Saccharomyces cerevisiae S288C: one gene and its partners. The gene in region 2 interacts genetically with the main gene of each other region. Each region holds a gene or a part of one and is shown on either strand. Other genes may lie near its edges.

Region 1 (4,863 bases), on a different chromosome or scaffold from region 2:
GCGCGGAATTGCTACCACTTTACGTCTTTCTTCATGTTCCTCGGACGTTTCCAATCATTAGCCGTTCCTCTAGACATCTACAGATCTATTCCTAATCACAACCTATCTCTAGCCGCAAGATATATCTGTGTGAGAGGGGTCGCAACAGGAATACCTTAAATGGGATAACCGTCACGTGACTCTCACTAGGGGCATCAAGTGCGCTGCTTCTTCAAGGTTTTCGCGCCCTGTTTGAAGAAGTGGCACAGAATCCATAGAGTAATATTACTAACGAGCTACGAAACTTAGCTTACCTATTAAATACTCAAAGAAAATACGCTGTGTATGCTTTTGCGGCACATCTATGTCATTAAATCTCTCCATGGCGCGTATATTTTATGACGGGAAATCTGAGGCCGATCGAGGAGGGAAATTACTAGAAAAGCTTATCCTTCTTTACCTCCGAACAAATTTTAAAATATACCTCAATGGGAATAAAGAATGCAAGGAAAGGCAAGGTTCAGCCTATGATGATGAATATCGTACTCTAAAATTATAGATATCTAACTGTGGGCGTATTAAACCTTGCTTTGGTCATTATCCAATCGTGTATGCAGAGAGCGGGGCGATATGCAGCAAACAAAAGGGGCGAAATAATAGTTACTCCAAAGATGAAATGGCAGAAGAAAATGGAAAACTATACAGTTTGCGAAGGAGGCATCCTCTTAGTTAAAAAAAAATTTGGACTCATTGCACTGCAAACAGAGTTTCTAGGATTGTCATATTTTGTACCTCCTGGAATGTTAAGACTTTCTCATTAATAATGGTGTGATACACTTATAGTTGGGTGCTAAAAGGTAACTGCAAGCCCCACATCTATAATATTACCGTTAAGTTTCCGGCGAATAGTTTCTCTTTTCGCCCCTCTATTTCTCCCTTCAAATGTGAAGATAAGGAGGACAGCCATAAATATTCCTGTAATGACATTCCATCTTGGGTGGACAATTTTATGGTATAATCAAGCGTATTTAGAAGTTTGGGCGACAGTATTTCAAGACGAGATGCATAAGTATTCTCTTCATCCTCAATCCCGCGATGCTAAAACAAAGTTTTGTTGTTGCATTCCATTTAAGTAGAGCAAAAGCGTGGCAAATCTGAAAAATTGCCACATAGGGTGCTAAATTTGGTATAATGGCACAAATAAACAATCTCAGTTTACTGACAGTGAACTACAGGAATATACAATTTTGAGGTGTTAACGACCAACCGTTAATAGCTTATTCTCTCATATGTTATACCACTGTAGGAAGAGGTGGTTTCAACTGTATTTTGAGCACAGGTAGATATAAGCTCTGGACAGTTTTGCTACCCCTTGAAAGAATTCAACAGTATTTTCTGAGGTACTCATCGTAAAAGATTGCTAATTTTGGTCGCGATGTATATAGGTAAAGGAGTATTTCCTAAAAGTTGCCAAAGATTATCAAAATATTACCGTGTTTATAAAATAAACTGACACCCGGATAATTAAGAAGTGGTAAGCTTATGTTAGAGTACTTGTACTTGACAAGTAAAATCAGAATTGGGAATTATCAATTGAGATCACGTGCAAACCGAAGAAATGCAAAGAAGTAAGGTTAGGGTTTATGGACCCAGGCAGCAGAAAATTGTAGCTTCATTTGTTGGCACAGGACTATTCCACCCTTAGAATTGACTTTTTGGACATTGAGCTAAGGTTCAATGCACTCGATGGTCTTCTCACTTCCGAATATATAGATCTAGCGTGTGAGGACTACTCATTGGCTTGCGATTTACGGTTTTTATATTTTTTGCCGCACATCATTTTTTGGCCTGGTATTGTCATCGCGTTGAGCGGACTCTGAATATAATCCTATTGTTTTTTATGGATCTCTGGAAGCGTCTTTTTGAAGCCAACCCAACAAAAATTCGAGACAAGAAAATAAAAAACGGCACTTCATCAGTATCACAAATACCATCAATTTATCAGCTCTCATGAATGAAATCGATGAGAAAAATCAGGCCCCCGTGCAACAAGAATGCCTGAAAGAGATGATTCAGAATGGGCATGCTCGGCGTATGGGATCTGTTGAAGATCTGTATGTTGCTCTCAACAGACAAAACTTATATCGAAACTTCTGCACATATGGAGAATTGAGTGATTACTGTACTAGGGATCAGCTCACATTAGCTTTGAGGGAAATCTGCCTGAAAAATCCAACTCTTTTACATATTGTTCTACCAACAAGATGGCCAAATCATGAAAATTATTATCGCAGTTCCGAATACTATTCACGGCCACATCCAGTGCATGATTATATTTCAGTATTACAAGAATTGAAACTGAGTGGTGTGGTTCTCAATGAACAACCTGAGTACAGTGCAGTAATGAAGCAAATATTAGAAGAATTCAAAAATAGTAAGGGTTCCTATACTGCAAAAATTTTTAAACTTACTACCACTTTGACTATTCCTTACTTTGGACCAACAGGACCGAGTTGGCGGCTAATTTGTCTTCCAGAAGAGCACACAGAAAAGTGGAAAAAATTTATCTTTGTATCTAATCATTGCATGTCTGATGGTCGGTCTTCGATCCACTTTTTTCATGATTTAAGAGACGAATTAAATAATATTAAAACTCCACCAAAAAAATTAGATTACATTTTCAAGTACGAGGAGGATTACCAATTATTGAGGAAACTTCCAGAACCGATCGAAAAGGTGATAGACTTTAGACCACCGTACTTGTTTATTCCGAAGTCACTTCTTTCGGGTTTCATCTACAATCATTTGAGATTTTCTTCAAAAGGTGTCTGTATGAGAATGGATGATGTGGAAAAAACCGATGATGTTGTCACCGAGATCATCAATATTTCACCAACAGAATTTCAAGCGATTAAAGCAAATATTAAATCAAATATCCAAGGTAAGTGTACTATCACTCCGTTTTTACATGTTTGTTGGTTTGTATCTCTTCATAAATGGGGTAAATTTTTCAAACCATTGAACTTCGAATGGCTTACGGATATTTTTATCCCCGCAGATTGCCGCTCACAACTACCAGATGATGATGAAATGAGACAGATGTACAGATATGGCGCTAACGTTGGATTTATTGACTTCACCCCCTGGATAAGCGAATTTGACATGAATGATAACAAAGAAAATTTTTGGCCACTTATTGAGCACTACCATGAAGTAATTTCGGAAGCTTTAAGAAATAAAAAGCATCTCCATGGCTTAGGGTTCAATATACAAGGCTTCGTTCAAAAATATGTGAACATTGACAAGGTAATGTGCGATCGTGCCATCGGGAAAAGACGCGGAGGTACATTGTTAAGCAATGTAGGTCTGTTTAATCAGTTAGAGGAGCCCGATGCCAAATATTCTATATGCGATTTGGCATTTGGCCAATTTCAAGGATCCTGGCACCAAGCATTTTCCTTGGGTGTTTGTTCGACTAATGTAAAGGGGATGAATATTGTTGTTGCTTCAACAAAGAATGTTGTTGGTAGTCAAGAATCTCTCGAAGAGCTTTGCTCCATTTACAAAGCTCTCCTTTTAGGCCCTTAGATCTCACATGATGCTTGACTGATATTATTCGACAATATGATTATGTCGTGTAAATAACCCACTTTCATGTTGTCACTCCCTCGGCTTTGGTTGGTTAAAGGGACTTATCGGTTTCTTTTTTTAGAGTTGATTTAAGATCAGATCGAAGTAAATAACGTGCAGAACATTGCATATGATAGATAACAACCTATAGTATATATTTCAAAATCGCGACAAATCTGAAATATTAATTGATTTGATTAGCTGCAGAGATCTTCTCGATGTAAGGAGCTATTTAAATAGAAAGGGTCAGAATCGTCGTCCTGTGGGAGCTGGTATATACTAAATTGATGAACAACTAAAATAGCACTCTCATTGTCATTTTGGGTGTGAGACCTTAAGCAAGGAGAGATATTTTTAATGGATGTATTAGCGCAGCCGTTGCTTACGGTATTCCTTGGCATATTGTCCCTGAAAAAAAACCGTTGTACACTCGGATACGCATTTTTCGGACTTCTCCCACCCAAGAAACGCAACTTTTGAAGGGCGCCTACACCACTAGACCAACAAGGCCAATGCAAAGCTACAAACAAATGCGTGGGCGCATGGGCATAAGGAGGTGTAAAAAGCTTTTTTTTTTTATGTGAGGAATTACAGGCGGAAGATACTCAAATAAAGCACTGATTTGATGTTACCGAACTTTTCCCCAGGCATAAAATTTTATTTTCATATTTCATCAATTCGATATTATTGATATCGCACCTAATGTAGTCATTTCCTTTCTCTCTTTGCTAGTAGATTTTAAAAAGGTTTCTTGCTGTATTTTTTTATACTTTTATAGACGCCGCTTTCCAAAGTTCATCTAAAATAAGTCGCTACAATGATTTGATCTTGATTCGGTGCTTCAGGAGCCTGCTTGCTTCTTTGCAGCTTCGGCAATTTGGAACCTTGTGTGCATATCCTCGTTTGTAAGCCCAGAAGCACACAGACATCGATCACATCTATAATAGGAGCATGCTATCATAAAAGATTCACAGTATTCGTATAATTACATGGCAGACTTTTTGAAAAGAATGGTATGGAACCAAGTGAGCGCCTAGAAAAAAAGCTGAAAAGCTGAAATCTTAATTGGATAAGAAACTTCAATAACATTTTTCACGCGTTTCTTTTTCAACTAGATTAGCCTTAACAAACGACAATCATCGAGTACCCACGCTCATTACGCTGAACGTGCAAATGTAACGGGGTGGAAACCTAAAACGTTGAATGAACTAGCCAGAACGATGACAATTGCGGCAAGCTTTCCATACGTGTTCT
Region 2 (5,112 bases):
TCAAGATTGCTTTGGGAAATTGTCGCATTTATAGAATCAAATATCCTACAGCTCTTTCCAGCAGTTTCCCAATTAGTTAGTCCAGGAGCAGCATACAATGGGAAGTAAAGATCGGATTCTTGCATCATATTTATTGTGCTTCTTAATTTGTTCGAAATGATCGGGAGCCATTTCTTTGAAAGTCTTTTCATAGGGAAGTCATCTGTGAATGGATCATCTTCATTGTGTCCCCATGAAAAGACCGCCTTTTTAGGTAATTCATTCCTTAATTCCACCAGTAGAGCACTAGAAAACCCGCCCCATCCACTCTCCATATCACTTACAAGATTGAAGCCTTGCAGGGTGTCACATTTTTCCAATTCTCTATGCAAATTTCCATCAAAAAACTCTTGCAAGTAATTTTCGGTAAATTCGTCATAACCAATGGAATACCTGTCAAACTTTCGCTCCCCCAAGTTTTGAAAGTCAGGTTGGTTTGGATTTTCAGTGTCATGGTACCAATTTCTCAAAATATTGAAACTTGAAGGACCATAGATAAGTTTAGAATAGTCAGACCAATACATCGTATTTTCTCTGTTCAAACAAGGCAGCGGTGCTCCTGCATCTAGAGAACTCTGATATTCGGATTTAGGTATTCTTGGATGAGTCTTTATAACTGTTTGCTCCTTGAATTTGTCTTCATTGCCGAAATGATAGTCTTGGCTTTCTGAATATTGATATGTTCCTAGTGAACCATTACCTGTACGGGCATCCCAAAGTAAGGCACGTGGTGCATATGAAATTGTTTTTGAAACTTTATCTACAACCGAATTCAGAAAAATTTTGGAGTCATTGACTTGTTGTTCTTTAGACAATTGTAAATAGCCCTCTTGTATATTGAAGAATTGAGTAGTCAAATGGTTTGCTCTCTGCGAAACCGATATCGTTACTACTTCATGCATTTTTTATTCTTGTCTGCCAATTATATATGTAATTTTAACAATTAACCCTCTTCTTCCAAGGTTTTAATTCATCGCATCGATTATATTTTGTTCCATTCGAAATTTTCCATTTTAAGTTTGGCGAAGCTTTTCACGTTTTCATTCAGAAATAATGATGTCGAACATCAAAAAAAAAAATTATCAGGTTACACATCTAAAAAGTTGACTTATTTACAAACTAATTCGCGCGAAAGGTTGTGGCTATGGGTTCGCAATTAGGATCTGGGAGTTGAACATTTTCCAAGTCAGGTTTTAAGCCCTTTACAGTAATTTCGTCGTGAAATATTTTCAAAAATCTGCATAAGGGTTCTGCGTACCACCTTCTGCCGGATCTGTCTTTGAACCATCCAACATGCCCCCCCGTCGAAGTTTCTAGAAGCAAAGTGTATGGATTGGATTTTATTTGGTCTATAGGAAGATCACCTCCGACAATTGGGTCATCCTGAGCATGCAAAGCTATAAAAGGAGTTCTGATCCCGGGTATTCTTTTATATGATGAAGCATTCTTGTAATACTCCTCTGCATTTTTATATCCAAACATTGGGCCTGTCAACAAGTTATCAAATTGCCTCACAGTGCGAATCTTTTTTAAATGCTTCTCGATAACATCTTTGAAATCAGGGTTTTCTTCCAGAGTAGAGAGATGGTTTCGAACCATGCGTAGTAAGTTGTGACCCAAAGCAGGTGAATAAAATCGTGACCCCATTGGTGTACTGTTAATAAAATATGCAGAGTTGTACAGGTCAAATGGATTACTCACGGAAATAGCACATTCGATTTTAGTACGATCTGACTCTTCTCCCAAGTAATTTGTCATTATAGATGCGCCTAACGAAAATCCCATCATATAAAACTTTCTATTCGGAAATCTTTTCCTCAAGTCATTAACACAATATCTTATATCATTGGTCCAACCACCGTTGTATAATAGCGGCGTTGTAATTGCAGAATAACAACATCCTCTAGCATTAAACACGCATGCTTCAAAGTCATACTTCGTGGTGATTTCATGAACAATTGCCCTCACGTAGCTTTCCCTCGAACCCCCTGTTAATCCATGGAGAATAATAAGCATAGGCTTAGCATCGTCTGAGTTCAATTTAGGATCATCAGGGGAATAGTACGAATATCTTCGTTTCAAGTTTCCGTTAAATACCGGTTGACTTGTCGGCACGTATTCTTTTTCCACTTTTCTTCTTTTGGTACTTCTACCATTTACAGCAAAATCCACAGTCCCTTCTCCCCCATGTGGGTATTTGATTATCATTCTTTTATATTGAACTTTGTATATATTGTCAAAGTGTCTAAAGGAACCATATGCAGTTTGTAAATGGCCATTGACCAGTAAACCATATAAAGTGTCAGTAGCACCGTCAGCTAATTCAGGAACTTTAGTATCTATTAGCTCAGGGATGGTGATCTCTTTATTTTCATTCTCTCGTTTATCGGTGGACTTGAATGCAATAGGATCCTCAGGGACCTCTTGATGAACAATCAAAAAATTAGGTAACAATTCTTTTAGACGCATATCGTCTCTGGAAGTTTACCAGCGTTTGTATAATACAGTTTTAAAATAACAAAGTAGTTGGTTTTTATCGAACTTCAAATAATTGAGACCCTTTTAAGATCCACAATACTTTTCGGGGTTAGGTAAGAAGACCCGTAAAAAAAAAAAAACGTAAACGATGCTGTACAATTAACAAATTTTTCAGGAAATAGAAGAGGTAAAAATATTGATATACGAAGTTGAGGAGCGCCAATGGTTAGCTCACTGGCATCAAATATAATTCTAGCCCTTGTGGTAGTCCTGATGACACTGCTAAGGCAAAATAAGCCGTTGCAGAGGTGGTTTGTATCATATGTTGAAAAGCTATTATCAAGAAAATCAAATCTGGCCCAAAAAGTCAGCGTTTTATCGCCCTCCTTAAAATTGGTTGATGTTGAGAAATCAATATCTGCCGATCAATCGAATCTTTCTAAAATTAATTATCAGATTCCCACTCTTCCTGATCTTACGGGGAATTTAATCCGTTTACATGAGTATCGAGCAAGAGGAGAAGGCTATAATGGCCTTTTATTTCGGAGAGCAAGACAATTAAATGGAATTTCAGAAGATCAGTTGCAAAAATTAGGCTACTTCACCAAATTAATGAAAAATAATGAGGGTATCCGAGAAAACGCAAGAGTTATTGACAAGATAATTGAGTTCACTTTAGGGAAATTGATTCATTCCAACGAACACGATGAAGAATTTACAGAGGAAATTGAAAAGATATGCGCGGAACACGGCTATAAGATTAAAGATGGTCACCTTATTCAATTGAATCCTGACTTCGTATTTCCAATAGTTTCGTCTCGAGGCAGCCAAAGTGTGGTCCATGAAGCATTAGCACATTTGTGTCGTGATTTCAGCTCTTACTATAGTGTGGAAAGAGATCCTTTACAAAATTTTATCATTAGTAGAATCAACCATCATGTGATTAGTGCCGGGGACATGAAAGAGAAAATTCTTATCGTGACCCCAGGGGCTGGTGTGGGTGGCCTATCCCATACTCTTGCCACCACTTTCCCCAAAATACAGGTGGACTCCATCGAATTATCAGCCTTGATGTACATATGTAACCTATTTGCACTCGAATATAAGCATGACGTTAAGATACGTCCTTTTGTACAACAATATTCATGCCAGACAGTGTTTGATAATCAGTTGAGAAGTTTATCGGCAGATTTGAGCAAAGTTGGCCACCGCAGTAATCTGGACCCACTATGGGGGGACTTCACACGATATTCTCCCATTTCCAAAGACTATGATAAAATTATCATTTGTAGCGCATATTTCATAGATACCGCGGAAAATATGTTTGAATATCTATCCAGTATTGAAGCACTAAAGAAATACTGTAAAGAGCTGCATTGGGTCAATGTAGGTCCATTAAAGTATGGCACCAAACCCTTGGTCCAATTTACAGGAGATGAATTAAGTCGGCTGCGTAAAATTCGCGGGTGGAAGGACCTTGTGGAGGAATATGAAGTTGATAGCTCAAAGGGATTGAATGGCTATTTAACTGATTATGAGTCAATGTATCAAGGATACTATGGTCTGCTTAAATTTCATTCTGTCTTCGAAAGCTGAATTGATACTACGAAAAATTTTTTTTTGTTTCTCTTTCTATCTTTATTACATAAAACTTCATACACAGTTAAGATTAAAAACAACTAATAAATAATGCCTATCGCAAATTAGCTTATGAAGTCCATGGTAAATTCGTGTTTCCTGGCAATAATAGATCGTCAATTTGTTGCTTTGTGGTAGTTTTATTTTCAAATAATTGGAATACTAGGGATTTGATTTTAAGATCTTTATTCAAATTTTTTGCGCTTAACAAACAGCAGCCAGTCCCACCCAAGTCTGTTTCAAATGTCTCGTAACTAAAATCATCTTGCAATTTCTTTTTGAAGCTGTCAATTTGCTCTTGAGTAATGTCTCTTCGTAACAAAGTCAAAGAGCAACCGCCGCCACCAGCACCGGTAAGTTTTGTGGAGCCAATTCTCAAATCATCGCTCAGATTTTTAATAAGTTCTAATCCAGGATGAGAAACACCGATTGAGACAAGCAGTCCATGATTTATTCTTATCAATTCCAATAGTTGTTCATACAGTTCATTATTAGTTTCTACAGCCTCGTCATCGGTGCCTTTACATTTACTTAACTTAGTCATGATCTCTAAGCCTTGTAGGGCACATTCACCCATGGCATCTAGAATTGGCTTCATAACTTCAGGAAATTTCTCGGTGACCAACACACGAACGCGAGCAACAAGATCTTTTGTAGACCTTGGAATTCTAGTATAGGTTAGGATCATTGGAATGGCTGGGAAATCATCTAAGAACTTAAAATTGTTTGTGTTTATTGTTCCATTATGTGAGTCTTTTTCAAATAGCAGGGCATTACCATAAGTGGCCACAGCGTTATCTATTCCTGAAGGGGTACCGTGAATACACTTTTCACCTATGAAGGCCCATTGATTCACTATATGCTTATCGTTTTCTGACAGCTTTTCCAAGTCATTAGATCCTATTAACCCCCCCAAGTAGGCCATAGCTAAGGCCAGTGATACAGAAATAGAGGCGC
Region 3 (4,758 bases), on a different chromosome or scaffold from region 2:
TCGTCGCTTTTAATAATCCCTGAATTGCACAATTATTTGAGTGCTTTGATTTCAGACGTTATTGAGTCTCCAGGCATTGGTACTGCTGGAAGCGCTGAAAGTCGTTGGGAGTATGATTTGAATCGCTATGTAAAGGAAATTCTTTCGAATGAGTTGCAATATATCGATAAGGATTATTTCATCCAAGAAATGAACAGAAGGTTGCAATCTAACAAACAGGAGATTTGGGAAGAGATCACAAATAGGTTAGAGACACAGCAGCAGCAGCAGCAGCAGCAGGTTCAACAGGATTATTCTAACGTGCCACAGCAGTATTCGAGCATATTAATGAAAAGATTAATTCACCAAATTTACAATTCCAATCAACACCAATGGGAGGACGATTTAGATTTTGCTACTTATGTTCAAGGTACTAAACTATTGAACCATTTAACTTCACCAACCTGGAGACAGGGCAGTGGGGTACAGCCGATAGAATTACTGACCGACTCCAAACAAAGCTCCTCAACTTACTGGCAATGTGAGAACGAACCTGGGTGTTCATGGGCCATAAGGTTTAAAACTCCTTTGTATCTAACCAAAATTTCGTACATGCATGGCCGTTTTACTAATAACCTACATATAATGAACTCAGCACCAAGACTGATCTCATTATATGTAAAACTGTCACAGACTAAAGAGATCAAAGCATTGCAGACATTGGCAAATCAATACGGTTTCGGGCAGCATCACAAGAGAGACCGAAATTACATCAAGATCGCAAAATTTGAGTACAGGTTGACAGATTCTAGAATACGCCAACAAATGTATCTGCCCCCATGGTTCATTCAGTTAAAACCACTCGTACGCTCAATTGTCTTTCAAGTGGACGAGAACTACGGGAACAAAAAGTTCATATCTCTGAGGAAATTTATCATCAACGGAGTGACACCGCAGGATTTGCAAATAATTGAAAATAACGAGTTCCCTGTTTTACTGGGTGACACCCCAGAATATGGTGTCACTCAGAACACCGACGAAGGCAAGAGGAAAGTTCTCCTATCAAAGCCTCCTTACGCGTCTTCATCTACTAGTACCAAGTTTCATCCCGCTTCTAACGTCCCATCATTTGGCCAAGATGAGCTAGATCAATAAACGACAATAAAAAATTAAACGTTCTAACCCCCTGGCCCCCAGAAAATCGCGCAGATTGACGGCACTCCCTTTAAATCATAGAGTTAATCAGCTACTCACCACTCTCTTTCGGTACTGGCGTTATTCTGAATTCCAACCTTGAACACAGCCACACGGCATTCAGATGTTGCTCCCATGCGTGGACTCACGCTCTGCGATTAACAGCTCATGGAAATTTCCTCGTGCTATTTAAGACTGCAGTCGTTTGGAAATCGGAATATCTTTTTTCGTGCAGTTTTGCGGGAAATTTTCCCTACTTAAAAAGCTGAATGAAAATCAGAAATATCTGCAAAAAAAAAAGGTAAAAAAGGGAAATTTTAAGACATAGCATAAAGGACTTGGTTTTGTTTCAATACTCAGCCCTTTTCATTCATTTCTATCACAAGTTTTTTTTTGCTCTCGTTTCCATTTTCTTCGTTTACTTATTATTGACGTACATCTTTTTTAGTTTCAAATAACATAGCAAGAAGGCTTAACTAAGTTCCTATATTCTTGGCATATTTATCATCATCAGGTCTTTTAAAAGTATCTCAGAACGTAACTTCAACGCCTTTAGATTTTTTTCACAACACGACTCTATTGCAAGAGACAAAAAAAATTAAAATGGGCATTTTGGACTCGCTGAAAAAACCTGTTAATATCAAGAGTTCGCTCCCCAAATTCTCCCGCAGTGCTACCAGCATCAATTTAAGTAGCCACCCAGTAAGTTCACGGTCCTTCCTCGAATTACCACCAGAGCTTTTCAGCATCACTAAACCTATATTTAAGCTTCTGCAAGCACACGCAAATAAGATTTACTTCCAATCTTCCGACGCTGAGGCTGTATGGAATGTTAAGGATTCTTCTGGACATGTTTTTGAAGCAGAGTCAATTTCTTTGCTCGGCTCTCATATAATTATCACAAATTCCTCTGTACAAGTCGCAGACGTGGCCATCATAGATTCCCCTTCCAACATAAACCAATGTGAAATTTCAAGCGTTGGAGAGTTCCTGCAATTCAATAATGGCCAACTATCTATCACATGTAACGATTTTGGTTTACTGGAGAAGTTCAAAAGGTTGTGTATGATTTCTATTTTTGAGTTCATTTCTATATATAAGGCCTTGACAGGCACAGTGATTTCCTCTTATGGGCTGAGAATGTCTGATATGCATATCATTTTGAACTCGCCGTTCAATTTTAAGGATTGGTGTGAAGTTTATCTTGATGGTCAAGGTTGGGTGAAAGTGTGGTGTCATATTGATAAAGTGTCTAAAACCAATAATTCTAAAAGTAGTAGTGACAATGATGCTAAAGGAAAGTATCAAATACGGTTTTATAGAGATGACAAATCCACATCTAGCAAGAACTGCGTTTTTTTTATTCCTGACAATGAGTACGTTCAAGATATTTTCTTTTATAACATCAATGCGGCAGAACCTTCTAAAAATATGAACGACTTTTTTCAAGGGTTGCAAATGATAAAGCTCGTTGGTAATGTACGCTTTTGCAGTGATACGGACTTTAATGATGTGGTGGATAGTGGATCCATCTATAGTAGTGCAAACAACGGCAGTGGTGACAGCAGCTCGACAGCATTGAATAATGAAAGTCCTAACACTACACCAAAAAGTAGAACTTTCTTTTCACCTAAAGGGCACAGAAGAAATAGCTCCCATGTAAGTTCGTTAACTTCTAGATCAACAAAAAAGCCTATAACTAACTTCACTACACGTACAAATGGGCTTTTGATTAGGCCATTGCCCCATCATGGCGTACATCACCTGGAAGCAATGATCAGGTTCATTATTCCTTTGATGGATTGTGCAAGACTTTATGGGCGTCCAGTTCAATTCAAGACAGAAAGAACCGATATAAATTCGTTAATGTTTGGATTACCTAAATTGCCCTCAGTGGATTATTTTGCTGAAGAGGAGATTGCCCATTTGATGACCCAGGAATTTAATCCTTTGAAAGAAAAAGATACTGACGATACTATGGCTTTAACTATGTCAAGATTTTCTAGCTACCTGCAAGAAAGAATGACAAAAGTCTCCAAGAGAAACACAGAACTCAACTTCAGGACCTTTAGTGATGTAATGGGCATGTATAATACTACGAGGGATCACTCTAAACTTAATTGCATGAGTGACAAGGATAATTCTGTGAAGGAATTTTCATTGAGTGATAAAAGCAATGTTAGTTCTGAAACGACTAATATGATGAATCAATTGCAAGTAAACGCCCATGAATACAAAAGTTCTATGTGCGAACGTCCTATCGTCGCAAGTACTTCGCCCATTGCATAGTTCTTCGCATATATAGCCACATCTCAAAAACTTACATACAGTGTATATATTTGTGGTACAGTTTCTGTATAGCCAAATATACCCTGATATAATCTTATGTGATATTATATACTTCCATCCTAATACTAAACTTTTTCGTTTAACGTGACGCATGGTGCGAAGAAAAAAAAATAGCAAATCGCCACTCAATAAAGTGAGTAGAGAGCATTATATCAAAAAAGCATCGATAATATCGAGTGATCATACGTTGAAAATCATCAAGTACAATAGTGATATAAGCCACAATGCAAGCTCCAGTGGTATTTATGAATGCTTCTCAAGAGAGAACTACCGGTCGTCAGGCCCAAATCTCCAATATCACTGCTGCAAAGGCAGTTGCCGATGTCATTCGAACTTGCTTAGGTCCAAAAGCTATGTTAAAGATGTTATTGGATCCTATGGGCGGTCTTGTGTTGACTAACGATGGCCACGCTATTTTAAGGGAAATTGATGTTGCACATCCAGCAGCTAAATCAATGTTGGAGTTATCCCGTACTCAAGACGAAGAGGTTGGTGACGGGACTACAACAGTTATTATTCTAGCTGGTGAGATTTTAGCTCAGTGTGCACCTTATTTGATTGAAAAAAATATTCACCCTGTTATTATTATCCAAGCCTTGAAGAAAGCACTGACTGATGCACTAGAAGTTATCAAACAAGTAAGTAAACCTGTCGATGTGGAAAATGATGCCGCTATGAAAAAATTGATTCAAGCCTCTATCGGTACTAAATATGTCATACATTGGTCAGAGAAAATGTGTGAATTAGCTCTAGACGCTGTTAAGACTGTCCGTAAAGACCTGGGACAAACTGTGGAAGGTGAACCTAATTTTGAAATCGATATCAAAAGATATGTCCGTGTGGAGAAGATTCCTGGGGGGGATGTTCTAGATTCTCGCGTCTTAAAGGGTGTCTTATTGAACAAGGATGTTGTTCATCCAAAGATGTCCCGTCACATAGAGAATCCACGTGTTGTTCTTTTGGATTGTCCACTAGAATATAAGAAGGGTGAATCTCAAACCAACATAGAAATTGAAAAGGAGGAAGATTGGAATAGGATTTTACAAATCGAGGAAGAACAAGTTCAGCTAATGTGTGAACAAATTTTAGCCGTTAGGCCAACACTAGTCATCACTGAAAAAGGTGTTTCAGATCTAGCACAGCATTATTTACTAAAGGGTGGATGTAGTGTTTTAAGAAGAGTGAAGAAATCAGACAATAATAGAATTGCTCGTGTAACTGGTGCAACCATTGTCA

The links. Genes that interact genetically often act in the same process or in processes that back each other up.
Region 1: mutations in MGL2 (region 2) and ATF1 impair growth when combined (synthetic growth defect), as found in Saccharomyces cerevisiae (one study listed by BioGRID).
Region 3: mutations in MGL2 (region 2) and TPH3 together harm fitness more than expected from each alone (negative genetic interaction), as found in Saccharomyces cerevisiae (2 studies listed by BioGRID).

The regions. Positions count from the first base shown.
Region 1 is NC_001147.6:1,044,237-1,049,099, forward strand, and holds ATF1 (alcohol O-acetyltransferase), read left to right. Parts: upstream 1-1,989; coding exon 1,990-3,567; downstream 3,568-4,863. Other genes in the region: YOR376W-A (uncharacterized protein), read left to right, coding at 960-1,115. UniProt on the Saccharomyces cerevisiae protein: Major alcohol O-acetyltransferase that uses acetyl-CoA to synthesize acetate esters from various alcohols, producing ethyl acetate, isoamyl acetate, isobutyl acetate, butyl acetate, hexyl acetate, heptyl acetate and octyl acetate.
Region 2 is NC_001145.3:684,912-690,023, reverse strand, and holds MGL2 (putative carboxylic ester hydrolase), read right to left. Parts: upstream 2,509-5,112; coding exon 1,159-2,508; downstream 1-1,158. Other genes in the region: DML1 (Dml1p), read right to left, coding at 1-941; YMR209C (uncharacterized protein), read left to right, coding at 2,740-4,113; ERG12 (mevalonate kinase), read right to left, coding at 4,226-5,112. UniProt on the Saccharomyces cerevisiae protein: Converts monoacylglycerides (MAG) to free fatty acids and glycerol. Has a preference for palmitoyl-MAG. Does not play a significant role in ethyl ester biosynthesis. Also possesses ester hydrolase and low but persistent TAG lipase activity.
Region 3 is NC_001142.9:403,812-408,569, forward strand, and holds TPH3 (Tph3p), read left to right. Parts: upstream 1-1,776; coding exon 1,777-3,462; downstream 3,463-4,758. Other genes in the region: MPS3 (Mps3p), read left to right, coding at 1-1,134; chaperonin-containing T-complex subunit CCT3, read left to right, coding at 3,747-4,758.